Linked DNA regions of Anolis sagrei. The protein of the gene in region 2 purifies or fractionates together with the protein of the main gene of each other region. This does not show direct contact. Links are inferred from orthologs where the notes say so. Each region holds a gene or a part of one and is shown on either strand. Other genes may lie near its edges.

Region 1 (7,238 bases), on a different chromosome or scaffold from region 2:
AAACGCAATAGAAGCAATCTACACGCGACAGGAAGCAACTCTTATAATAAATAATCAAGAAATTAAAAAGCCGATAAATATCACACAAGGTACACGGCAGGGATGTCCTCTGTCCCCCCTCCTTTTTATATTAGTTCTGGACGTGTTGATTAGAAACATAAATAGAGATTCAAATTTGAAAGGTATGAAAATTTATAAACACCACTTTAAATTGAGGGCATATGCAGATGATGTAGTATGCATAGTGGAGGATCCAATAAACAACATTGAAAATTGGCTGGAAAAAATAGAAGAATTTGGAATCCTGGCCGGATTTAAATTAAATAGACAAAAAACAAAATTCCTGGTAAAAAATATGGACCAAAAGGCCAAAACCACACTACAAGAAATCGCGGGAATCAAAATAGAAAATAAAATAAAATATCTAGGAGTCTACATAACGAAGAGTAATGTATCCCTAATTAAAAATAATTACGAGCCACTCTGGAAAAAAATAAAAAAGGACATGGACAATTGGAAATACCAAAATATATCCCTATTAGGCCGCATTGCATTAGCGAAAATGATAATACTCCCCCAACCACTATTCTTGTTTCAAACTCTCCCTGTAATTAGAAGCGACTTTTTATTTAAGAAATGGAACTCAGATCTCTCTAAATTCATTTGGAAAAACAAAAAGGCAAGAATCAGCATGAAAATACTAACAGACGACAAGAAAAGAGGGGGACTGAGCCTTCCAAATTTTAAAGCCTACTATGAGGCATGTAATTTAGTCGCCATAAAAGAATGGGTCACATTAGAAGACACTCAGCTCCTAGCATTAGAGGGCCACGATATCAGGGCCGGCTGGCACGGATATCTTTGGCAAAATAAGAGAAGAGTGGAAAAGGGCTTCAGCGACCACTATATTAGAGCGGCACTGCTGAAAACATGGGAAAAATATAAACCCAGACTCTGTAATGGAACACCACTATGGCTGTCGCCGGTCGAGGCTAAACACAAAAGGGAGCTAGGAGTGGAGAACTGGATGACATATCAACAATTACTGACAAAAAATGCGGAGGGCAACCTAATATTAAAACCATTAGTAGAAATTCAAAGTATAAATAAAAATATATCATGGCTAAACTACTATCAAATACAACAAGATTATAAAGAAGACGCAAAAATAGGTTTTAACCAGGCTCAGGGAGTATGGGAGAAGATATTAAACAAACGGAAGAAACTAATTAAGATACTTTACCAGCAGTTGCTGGCCTGGGATACAGAGGAGGAACAGATTAAAAACTGTCAGATAAAATGGGCAAAAGATGTGGGCCATACCATATTGCTAAGTGAATGGGAAGAAATTTGGAATCATAAATTAAAATATGTTGAAGCCAGCGATCTACGTGAGAACTGGTACAAGATGTTCTATAGGTGGCACTACACACCAGAAAAATTATCTAAATTCAATAAAACTATAACAGATAAATGTTGGAAGTGTAGAAAGGAAACTGGAACTTATTTCCACCAATGGTGGGCATGCAAAAAGATTAAAAAATTCTGGAAGGAAGTACACCAAGCCTCCCAAAAAATCTTGAAAATCAACTTCCCGCAGGTGCCCGAAACATACTTACTGGGAATCACAAATATAAAAATGGACAAGAACCAAGATAAGGTACTCTTTCTTCTGGGCACTGCCGCAAGACTAGTCCTCGCAAGAGTCTGGAAATTACAAGAAACACCAACCCTAGACGACTGGACTCTAAAGGTTTTAGATATTATTCAAATGGACAGTCTCTCGCAAAGATTGAAAGATACAAATAAAAGAACAAACTGGTTGGGATTCAAGGACTTTATCCAAACAAGGGAGATCCCATTGCCGATAGATCTGTCTAGCATATAAACCATGAACTTTAAAAGAAATTCGACTGGCAAGAAAACAGAAAGACACGAGATGAAGATGTCTGGAAGGTTTTTGGGAAGTCGGGACACTCCCCCCCCCAACCTCACCCCCCCTCCCCTCTCCCCCCCCAATCTCATCCCCTTACCACCCCCCCTCTTTCACACCCCCCCCACTCCCTTCCTCCCTACCCCGTACATAACCCTTTGTATATTCACAAAATTTCAATAAAAACTTATTTTTTTAAAAAAAGAGCCACATCTATTGTTTTAGCGTGGTGAGATGTGTTCCACACTGGGCATGCGTACTCAGCAGCAGAGTAGCATAGCGCAAGGGCAGATGTCTTCACTGTGTCTGGTTGTGATTCCCAGGTTGTGCGAGTCAGCTTTCGTATGATATTGTTTCTAGCACCCACTTTTCACTTAATGTTCAGGCAGTGCTTCTTGTAGGTCAGAGCACGGTCCAGAGTGACTCCCAGGTATGTGGGTGCGCTGCAATGCTCCAGTGGGATTCCTTCCCAGGAAGTAAGTAATTATTGTGGTTGGTTATGATTATTATGTTTATTTATATTCCACTTTTTTCCTCTGGAGGGGAAAGTTACTTTTCCATAGTTTGCATTGGCCAGAGTTGTTCAAGCCGACATAGTTGTGCTGGTTGGGGGATTCTGGGAGCTGGAGTCTGGAAAATATTAGGACTAATCTATGATTGTTATTAATTAATTGACTAATAATAATAATAATTGAGGCAGGGCTCAACTTTGTAAAGCAGAGAGATAAAACACAAGACTATCAAAGTGCATCAATCACAGGTTAAATGAAGGTTAAAATTCCCAAATAAGATTTTCCTTGCTAGCAAAGAGTCTACCGACAGGTGGCGCTGGAGATAGGCTTGCAATTTCGCTTTTCCTCGTTTGCCCAGCAGATGGCGCTATACAGCCAGAGGAAGCTCTCTTTTAGTGTCGCGCATGCGTACTATTCCTGAGGCGGCTCTGTGAGGCATTCTCTAATCATACTTTTGGCCACGCCTTTGGTCATCGTGGGCGGGGCATAGTTGCTGCGCATGCGCACTATCCTGAAGAATACTCTGAGGTAACCTTTTCACATCTTGGTCTGTGTGGGCGGGGATTTTGCCTTCGCGCATGCGTACTATCCATGTGGGCGGGGTTTTGTCTATACCTAAGACTTCGGCAAGCCGGGAATCTTCTTTAGTCACGCCCCTAGGCCGTGCTACGGGTCTGAGTGGGCGGGGTTTGGCCGCGCGCATGCGTACTATTCCTCAGCCGAACCAGATACTGATATAGCCACGCCCACTATACGCTTTGATTACACTGTAGCCACGCCCCTGGGCCGTCCATCCGGGTCTATGTGGGCGGGTTTTTTTCTCCACGCATGCGTGCTACACTCAGGCGAGCTTGATATTAACATGGCCACGCCCACTATTCGCTTTGATTATAATAGCCACGTCCCTGGGCCGTGCATCCGGGTCCGTATGGGCGGGGTTTTGTCTTTGCGCATGCGTACAATTACTGAAGCGCCTAAGGCGAGTCCTGATTCTTTAGCCACGCCCCTGGGTCGTTCACCCGCGTCTGTGTGGGCGGGGCTTTGTCTACGCGCATGCGTACAATCTATGGTGTGCCTAAGGCGTGTCCTGCTCATTCCTTAGCCACGCCCCTGGGCGGTACATCCGTCTCCGTGTGGGCGGGGCTTTATCTTTGCGCATGCGTACTATCCCTGAGGCGCCTAAGGCGTGTCCTGATCATTCTTTAGCCACGCCCCTGGGCCCTACACCAGGGTCCGTATGGGCGGGGCTTTGTCTTTGCGCATGCGTACAATCCCTGAGACGCTTAAGGCGTGTCCTAATCATTCTTTAGCCACGCCTCTGGGCCGTTCATCCGCGTCCTTGTGGGCGGGGTTTTTGTTTATGCGCATGCGTACCATCCCTGAGGAGCCTAAGGCGTGTCCTGATCATTCTTTAGCCACGCCCCTGGGCCTTTCACCAGCGTCCATGTGGGCGGAGTTTTTGTCTGCGCGCATGCGTACCATCCCTGAGGCGTCTAAGGCGTGTCCTGCTCATTCTTTAGCCACGCCCCTGGGCCGTTCACCCGCGTCCTTGTGGGCGGGGCTTTGTCTTCGCGCATGCGTACTATCCCTAAGGTGCCTAAGGCGTGTCCTGATCATTCTTTAGCCACGCCCTTGTGCCGGCATCCGGGTCTGTATGGGCGGGGTTATGTCTTAGCGCATGCGTACTATCCCCGGGGAGGCTCTGAGGCGAATCCTGATCACCCTTTAGCCACGCCCCCCGACCAATCCGACGCTCCCCGCGCGGTGCCTGCCGGGAAAGCGAGTCCTTTCCTCGCCTGGGCTGCGTTGCCAGCGTTGGTTCAAGGACTCCGCTTCCCGTGAGGCGCCCGGGTGCGTGTGGGCGGGGTTTGGTATCCGCGCATGCGTGCTGTCTCCTCCCCCTTGAGGCGCCTGTGTGAGGCGAGGAGCAGCCGTCGCCGAGGGAGTGTGCTGGAGCAGAGAGGACGACGACGACGAGGATGATGTCGGTGCGGGTGGCAGCGCCGCCGGCCGTGGAGCTGAAGGAGCTCGGAGGAGGAGGAGGCGGAGGAGGAGGAGGAGGGGGAAGCAGTGGGCCTTGCGTGGCCTCGGCTTCGGGGGCGCCCTCCGCCGAGCCCGCGGCCCCGCTCCCGGCCCCCAAGGCGCCCCAGGCCTCGGCCATGAAGCAGCGCAGCCCCACCGAGGCGCCCTCCGCCCTGGCCACCGCCGCCTCCTCCTCGTCGCAGGCCTCGTCCCGCCTGGGCGCCGCCGACGGAGGAGACCCCGGGGGGAGGCTGCTCGGAGAGGCCCTGCCCAGCCCCGGAGGCACCGTCACCGAAGCCCCACGCACCGTCAAGAAGGTAGGGCACCAGGAGAAGGGGGAGAGGAACCCTCACAGGAAAGAGGAGGAGGAGGAGGGGGAGCCAGCAGCCTAGACACAAGACAATCATAACAACAACAACAATAATGAGAAGTCACCACGCTAGCAAGAAGAAAAAGCAATAACACATAATAATAATAATAAGTCATAATAATAAGTCATAACAATAATACTGATAATACTAATACTAATGGGAAGGAATAATTAGGAGCAGGAGAAGAAGGGGGAGCCAGCAGCCTAGTCACCATACAGTCATAACAACAACAACAATACCAAGAATAATAAGCAATAACAAATAATAATAAGTCATAATAATAATAGGAAGCCACCACACGAGCGAGAATAATAAGCAATAACAAATAATAATAATAAGTCATAATAATAATGGGAAGCCACCACACGAGCGAGAATAATAAGCAATAACAAATAATAATAATAAGTCATAATAATAATGGGAAGCCACCACACGAGCGAGAATAATAAGCAATAACAAATAATAATAATAAGTCATAATAATAATGGGAAGCCACCACACGAGCGAGAATAATAAGCAATAACAAATAATAATAATAAGTCATAATAATAATGGGAAGCCACCACACTAGCAAGAATAATAAGCAATAACAAATAATAATAATAATAAGTCATAATAATAATGGGAAGCCACCACACTAGCGAGAATAATAAGCAATAACAAATAATAATAATAATAATAAGTCATAATAATAATGGGAAGCCACCACGCTAGCAAGAATAATAAGCAATAATAATAATAATAATAATGGGAAGTCACTACCCTACCAAGAATAATAAGCAATAACACATAATAATAATAATAATAATGGGAAGTCACCACTCTACCAAGAATCAGAAGCAATAACACATAATAATAAGTCATAATAATAATTCTGATCATACTAATACTAATGGGAAGTAATAATGAGGAGGAGGAGGAGAAGGAGGAGCCAGCAGCCTAGTCACAATACAGTCATAATAATAATTCTGATAATACTAATACTAATGGGAAGTAATAATTAGGAGGAGGAGGAGGGGGAGCCAGCAGCCTAGTCACAATACAATCATAACAACAACAACAATAATAATGGGAAGTCACCACACTAGAATCATAGAATCATAGAATCAAAGAGTTGGAAGAGACCTCATGGGCCATCCAGTCCAACCCCCTGCCAAGAAGCAGGAATATTGCATTCAAATCACCCCTGACAGATGGCCATCCAGCCTCTGCAAGAATAATAAGCAATAACTAGCAAGAATAATAAGCAATAACACATAATAATAATAAGTCATCATAATAATTCTGATACTACTAATACTAATGGGAAGTAATAATTAGGAGGAGGGGGGGGGGAGCCAGCAGCCTAGTCACAAGACAATCATAACAACAACAATAATAATGGGAAGTCACCACACTAGCAAGAATAATAAGCAATAACACATAATAATAAATCATAATAATAATTCTGATAATACTAATACTAATGGGAAGGAATAATTAGGAGGAGGAGAAGGAGGAGCCAGCAGCCTAGTCACAATACAATCAAAACAACAACAACAACAATAATAATGGGAAGTCACCACACTAGCAAGAATAATAAGCAATAACACATCATAATAATAATAAGTCATAATAATAATGGGAAGTCACTACACTAGCAAGAAGAATAAGCAATAACACATAATAATAAGTCATAATAATAATGGCAAGTAACAATCCTAGTAAGAAAAATAATGGGAAGTCAGAATTCTAGCAAAAATATATTACTGCTACTGCTAATAATAATAATAATAATAATAATAATAATAATAATGGGAAGTAATAGTAATGGGAAGTAATAATAATAATAATGGGATGTAACAGTCCTAGTAAGAAGATTAATGGGAAGTCACCATCCTAGCAAGAATATATTAATTCTACTACTGCTACTAATAATAATAATACTAATGGGAAGTAATAATAATAATAATAATAATAATAATAATGGGAAGTAATAATAATAGGAAATAATAATAATAATAATAATGGGATGTAACAATCCTAGCAAGTGTATATTAATAATAATAACAATAATGGAAAATAATAATAATAATAATGGGAAGTAACAATTCTAGTAAGAAGAATAATGGGAAGTCACCATCCTAACAAGAATATATTAATGCTATTACTATATTAATATATTAAGGAGAAGGGGGAGGTACCATCCTAGTCAAAATACAATAATAATAATAATAATGGGAAGTCACCATCCTATTAAGAAGAATAAACAATAACAAATAAAAAGTAACAATCATAGTAGTAAGAATAATCAATAAGTACTTATAATACTAATAATAATAATGGGAAGTAATAATCATAGCAAGACTAATAAACTTAATAATAACAATAAGTAACAATCATATTAAGAAGAATAATAGG
Region 2 (6,870 bases):
TCGGAGTATGATGTCCCTCCAAGTATAGTGTCTTGGCGGTGGGTCCGTAGGTGACTGTAGAGCCCCATTCTTGATCTGCATGTTCTTCCACAGTGAGGACATCAGTTTCCAGGTGGAAGGCAGTCCCGACTGTGGTTGGATTGATGCACCTTCCTCTTGGCACATTTCTCCCGTTCGCCCTCCATTTGTGCCTCTTCAAATTCCATAGCACTGCTGATAACAGCTGACCTCCAGTTAGAACATATAAGGGCCAGGGTTTCCCAGGTCTTGGTGTCTAAGCCACAGTTTTTAAAGCTGGCATTAAGCTCATCTTTAAATCTCTTTTCCTGCCCACCAACATTTCATTTTCCGTTCTTGAGTTGGGAGTAGAGTAACTGTTTTGGGAGTCAGTGATCAGGTAGTTGGACAATGTGGCCAGTCCAGCGGAGTTGATGGCGTAGGAGCATTGCTTCAATTCTGGTGGTCTTTGCTTCTTCCAGCATGCTGACATTTGTCTGCCTGTGTTCCCAAGAGATTTGCAGGATTTTTCGATGATAATGCGAATGGAATCATTCCAGGAGTTGAATGTGACGTCTGTAGATGGTTCATATTTTTCAGGTGTATAACAGGCTTGGGAGGACAATCTATATAAATAAAAATGTAATATTTGTTTGTGGGATTAACATAACTCAAAAACCACTGGACAAATTGACACCAAATTTGGGCATAATAAGCCTATCAGGTCAATGAGTGACCATCACTCATAAAAACACTGAAAAACAGAGAAAGGGACTTTAAAAGCCCCCAAAAGCCAAAAAGACACTACAACACATGCGCAAAAATGACTCCCCCAGCAAACAAAACACACAATAGCATATCCACACTCTTTTCCGGACTACAGCTCCCAGAATCCCCTAGACCAGGTCCTTTAAGAGAGGAGGATGATTCAAACGCACTGCTTCCAAGATGGAAGCTTTCTTCTCCTTGGATTTCTTTGAGAACATCCCAATCACTGCATATTTCCAATTTCCTATTCCTGGACTCCCAGCAATCTTCCAGATAAATGGATTAGATAGAGATAGGTAGGTAGGTAGGTACAGGGGCGGCTCGTCCATTACGCGAAGTAAGCGGTCGCAGAACATTTTTTTGCCAGGGGCGCAGAGGCGCCTCTGTAAATGCCCCTCGACCGCCACTTGAGGAGCGCCCCCTCCGCTCACAACAGCCCTAAGCAGTCCGGGGGGAGCCTCGGCTTTCTTGCCTCGCTGCCGGGTGATCCTCTTCCTAAAGGGGCTGGGGCCTTGAGCCTCGCCTCGCCCCTCTCGTTCCTGCTCCACCCGGCCACCGGGTGCACGAGCAGAGCCGGTGCTCAATTGTTCTCCATGTTAGATCCCTTCCCCATGACTGGCTCCCTTTCCTGATCCCCCAGAGCTCCACCCGCCTCCTCTCCTCTCCCCAATCCGCGGGTGGGCCAAGGGGTTGAGCCGCCGCGCCTGGCCCACTTCGGGTCAGGAGGCGTGTCTGAAGACCCCAGTGTGCGCACCAAAAGTCGCCTCTTCTCCTGACTTTCTTTTCAGCCAATGGGACCAAAAGAGAGAGAGAGAGAGAGAGAGCCCCTCTGGCTGGAGGTATCTCCCACCTCCGCTCCCTCCTTTGTTTTTGCGCCTACCTTCAGGAAAGGTGGGCATCTCCACCTCTGTCTCTCTCTCTCTCTCTCTCTCTCGGTCCCAATGGCTGAAGAGGAAGTCAGGAGAAGAGGTGACTTTTGCTGCACACGCCGGGGTCTTCAGGCACACCTCCGGACCCAAAGCGGGCCAGGCAAGGGAGCAAGTGCGGCAAGTGTAGTTACTGGGATGTATAGTTCACCTACAATCAAAGAGCATTCTGAACTCCACCAATGATGGAATTGAACCAACTATGGCACACAGAACTCCCACGATCAACAGAAAATATATATCAATGATTGGTTGGGGGGGGGGGGCAAAATACTGTTTGCTTACCATTGAAAATTACCTAGGGCCGCCTCTGGGTAGGTAGACCATTCAGAAGGACTGCTGGGAGTTGCAGTCCAAGAATAGGTACAGAAGGAAGAAAGGGGAGAACGAGGAAGGGAAAGAAAAGGGGGGAAGTGAAGAGGAAGAGAAGGAAGGAGAGAAGGAAAGAAAAAAAGGGAAGGAGAGAAAGAAAGGAGGAGAGAAAGAGGGAGGGAAGGTTGCCCACAGCAACGCATGGCGGGTACAGCTTGATAAACAAGCATCTTGGTATCTTGTTGATAAACAAGCATCTTGGTATCTCTGCGGATGTCCTGATCCTCAAACATTCTCTGGTTCATATGGAAAAATGCTGCACTTGCAGAGCTTGGACCAGGTGTCCTCAAACTTTTTAAACAGAGGGCCAGGTCACAGTCCCTCCAACTGTTGGAGAGCCGGATTATAATTTGAAAAAAACATGAATGAATTCCTATGCACACTGCACATATCTTATTTGTAGTGCAAAAACACTTTAAAAATACAATAATTAAAATGAAAAACAATTTAAATAAATTTAAACTTATTAGTATTTCAATGGGAAGTGTAGGCCTATTTTTGGCTGATGAGATAGGACTGTTGTTGTTGTTGTTGTGTGCTTTCAAGTCATTTCAGACTTAGGTTGACCCTGAGTGAGGGCCGGGAAAATGACCTTGGAGGGCCGCATCCGGCCCTCGAGCCTTAGTTTGAGGACCCCTGGTCTAGCCCATTGTGCTACTGGGGGCTCTGAAATAGAATTGGAGAAATAGGGACTTTTAACTGGGAAAGAAATCCGATCTTTCCAATGCCATGTGTATTATCCCACAACGGGCAAGGTAAACAGCAGCTGCCCCCAGAATGCTTTACTGAATATCCCTAACAGCAAAACTGAAGGCCCTTCCATACAGCTCTATATCCCAGAATATCAAGGCAGAAAATCCCACAATATCTGCTTTGAACTGGGTTATCTGAATCCACACTCAGATAATGTGGATTTTTTTGCCTTGATAGTCTGAGATATAGGGTTGTGTGAAAGGGCCCAGAGAGAAAGGTGGAGAACATAGAAGTTGGCCTCATCAGTTAGACAGTAGATTTCAGTGTCAATGTTGATATTTTTGGAGAGGTGGCTGCCAATGTAGAGGAAATGGTCAACATTTTGTAACATTACACATTAAGCTGTATTTCTAGCATTGCAGATGGATTGACTGGTGACTGCTGAAAGAACACTTTGGTTTTTTTCAATGTTCAACGAGAGGCCAAGCTTTTTGTATGCTTCCACAAAGATGATTAGAGTGGCTTGTAGGTCTTCTGAATGAGCATGACTTGCATTATCATCAGCATATTGGAGTTCTATAATAGATGTTGTGACCTTGGTTTTGGCATTCAGTCTGCTTAGGTTAAATAGCTTGCCATCTGTCCAATAGATGATGTGGATCATAACGATGAAGATGGAAAACAAGGGATGTGTTGTTGGGGCAACAACACATCCCTGTTCTCATAGAACTACCAATTCCATTATAGTGAAATTGTTATCACTGTGTAGAGCTCATACATACAGCCAGAGGAATACTAAAAACAATTAATTCATGAGTATCCAGTTTGCATATTTGCATATCTATATCTTACTACTCCTACCTGAGAACAGTAGTCAAATCTACCTCCTAGTTCATATGAATATCTCCTTATTCCTATGCAGTAACTCTCAGGCTCTGTCCCTATTGCCCACTTTTCTAAATCCATCCCTATAAACGTGCTGTGAGGGGCGTGGCTCCTCCTCCAGCCTCTGCCTCTGTTGCATTCTGGTCGCTGTAGTCCACAGCCAGCACTAGGATGTTTCCCGAGGCATGCCGGGAGCCGTAGTTCCTCCTCCCCGCGCGATGCATGCTGGGAGCCGTAGTCCCTCCCGCCCTGCAGTGTCAGCCTGGCCGCTGCTGGGTCAGTCATGCTGCCGAGTTGGGCTCCTTGGAGATCTGTCGTCTGTCAGGTAGGAAGATGTTTCCCATCTTGTGTTTGTCCAGATCTGGAGTGTATTTCCCAGCTTTGAGCTCACTGAGAGGAAGTGATAGGAGGTCAGGAGATGTTTCCTAATGTGAACCATTTGCTTTTAGAAAATTAACATGACTTGATGAAAAGTGGTGTTTCTGAGCATGTACAGAGTGCATACCTTCTCTCTTGCTGGGTTGGGATCTTACTTAGCTCCTTATGGGAACAGTGGAGAGGGTTTCCTAGAGCGAGCCATTTGCTTTTAGAAAATCAACATGACTTGATGAAAAGTGGTGCTTCTGAGCATGTATAGAGTGCTTCTAAGCATGTACAAAGTGCATCCCTTCTCCCTTGCTGGGTTAGGAACTTACTTAGTTCCTTATGGGAACAGTGGAGAGTTGTATTCTAGAGTGAACCATCTGCTTTTAGAAAATTAACATGACTTGATGAAAAGTGGTGCTTCTGAGCATGTACAGAGTGCATCCCTTCTCCCTTGCTGGGTTAGAATCTTACTTAGCTCTTTATGGAAACAGTGGAGAGATGTTTCCTAGAGCAAGCCATTTGCGTTTAGAAAATTAACATGACGTGATGAAAAGTGGTGCTTTTGAGCATGTACAGAATGCTTCTGAGCATGTACAGAGTGCATCCCTTCTGCTTAGCTGGGTTAGGAGCTTACTCAGCTCCTTATGGGAACAGTGGAGAGATGTTTCCTAAAGTGAACCATTTACTTTTAGACAGTTAACATGACTTGATGAAAAGTGGTGCTTCTGAGCATGTACAGAGTGCTTCTGAGCATGTACAGAGTGCTTCTGAGCATGTACAGAGTGCATTCCTTCTCCTTTGCTGGGTTGGGATCTTACTTAGCTCTTTATGGAAACAGTGGAGAGATGTTTCCTAGAGTGAACCATTTGCTTTTAGAAAATTAACACGTCTTGATGAAAAGTGGTGCTTCTGAGCATGCACAGAGTGCACCCTTTCTCCTTTGCTGGGTTAGGAGCTCAGCTCCTTATGGAAACTGGAGGGATGTTTCCTACAGCGAGCCATTTGCTTTTAGAAATGTGACATGCTTTTCATGACTTGATGAAAAGTGGTGCTTCTGAGCATGTACAGAGTGCATTCCTTCTCCTTTTCACTTAGCCCAGCCCATCCTTATGGATGAGATGCTTCCTAACGGCCTCCATTGGTTTTTAGAAAGTTTCAAAATTCTATTTATGACTTCCCTCTCTCTAAACAAGGCATTGGCAAACTTGGGCCCTCCAGGTGTTTTGGACTTCAACTCCCACAATTCCTAACAGCCAGTAGGCTGTTAGGAATTGTGGGAGTTGAAGTCCAAAACACCTGGAGGGCCCAAGTTTGCCCAAGCCTGCTCTAAATAAAGCAATGTTCTTTCATTTCTTAGCCTTTTCATATTTCATATTTTCAATAACAACAGCGAAATGAATGTTATTCGGTCGTATTTGGGATTTTAGATAATAGGTAGGGAAACGATTTGCAAATTGTAAATAATCTCCTCCTGTAGGATTATTAAAGCAAACAAACAAGAGTCCAGATCTCGAAATGTAAGTGTCTTCTCTTTAAGATTGCGCATAAATGGAAATTATAATAACACGTTTAAGTGAGTTGCTGTGAGTAAAAAAACATGTCTAAGGTTTTTAAAGCACAGTTCCAAGCATTTCCCTTATCCAAAACGCTTGGAACTTGACATATTTTGTATTTTGGAATAGCTCTAATTTGAATATACATAAATAATGTGATATCTCAATGAGATGGGGCCCAAGTCCAAACATGATATTCATTTGTGTTTCGTACACAAATACCCTAAAGTTAATTTTATACACACTATTTGTATTTTAATATCTTGAGCCTGAAACAAAATTTGTGTAGATAAAAACCATTGGAAAGCAAAGGTTTCACTGTCTCAGCTACTCATTCTGGATTATTTCAGCTTTCTAAATTCTACTTAAGGGATTTCTCAGACTGGATCTACACTGCCATATAGAATCCAGATTATCTGCTTTGAACTGGATTTTATGAGTCTACACTGCCATATAATCCAGTTCAAAGTAGATAATGTAGATTTTATATGGCAGTGTAGAAGGAGCATGTAGAGAAAGAAAGGTAATGGTGAGAGTTATAGTAGCGATCACACAATAACAAATGTTGGAGAAGAGATGGAGGCTACTTGAACACAGCTATGTAAAATCTACATTGAACTGGATTATATGGCGGTGTAGACTCAGGGCCCTTCCACACAGCCTTATATCCCTGATTATCAAGGCAAAAAATCCCACAATATCTGCTTTGAACTGGGTTAACTGAGTCCACACTCAGATAATGTGGGATTTTTGCCTTGATATTCTGGGATATATGGCTGTGTGGAAGGACTTGGAGAAGTTGTATTCCAGATTTTGTTGTCTCTCTGCTGCTATGACCAGAAGCAATCATAGATGGTGACCCTAGCCACAATATCCCCATTGCCATTTTAGGCCATGTCTACACTGCCATACAATCCAGTTTTTGAATCCAGATTATCTGCTTTGAACTGGTTTAGATGAGTATTAATATACTGTGACAACTGCCATTTGCCATTTTTCATTTCTGAAGTGGCCCTGAAGTCCATAAAAGCTTTCCTGGTCTTTTAAAGCCCCTTATATGCAGCCATATAATTCATGTTATCAAAGCAGATCATTCACATTCTCTGCTTTGAACTGGACTATCTGAGTCTACACTGTCATATAATCCAGTTCAAAGCAGATACCGGTAATCTGAATTTTATATGGAAGTGTAGAAAGGGCCTAATTCTTGAGGATCTTTATTTCAGCTACAAATGTTATTTGATAACATTGTGTTTTTTTTAATAAAAAAAATCTACTTATCTATTTCAATTTCTTGCTATCCTTGTTTG

The links.
Region 1: the proteins of JOSD2 (region 2) and AHCYL2 purify together in Homo sapiens (affinity purification with mass spectrometry; 3 studies listed by BioGRID and IntAct, counting the BioPlex papers as one, with this or other methods). This does not show direct contact. The link is inferred for Anolis sagrei from reciprocal best matches to the Homo sapiens genes JOSD2 and AHCYL2.

The regions. Positions count from the first base shown.
Region 1 is NC_090025.1:195,488,482-195,495,719, reverse strand, and holds the start of AHCYL2 (adenosylhomocysteinase 3), read left to right. Parts: upstream 1-4,232; 5' UTR 4,233-4,424; coding exon 4,425-4,784; intron 4,785-7,238. UniProt on the Homo sapiens protein: May regulate the electrogenic sodium/bicarbonate cotransporter SLC4A4 activity and Mg(2+)-sensitivity. On the contrary of its homolog AHCYL1, does not regulate ITPR1 sensitivity to inositol 1,4,5-trisphosphate.
Region 2 is NC_090026.1:27,143,179-27,150,048, reverse strand, and holds the start of JOSD2 (josephin-2), read left to right. Parts: upstream 1-3,859; 5' UTR 3,860-3,966; intron 3,967-6,870. UniProt on the Homo sapiens protein: Cleaves 'Lys-63'-linked poly-ubiquitin chains, and with lesser efficiency 'Lys-48'-linked poly-ubiquitin chains (in vitro). May act as a deubiquitinating enzyme.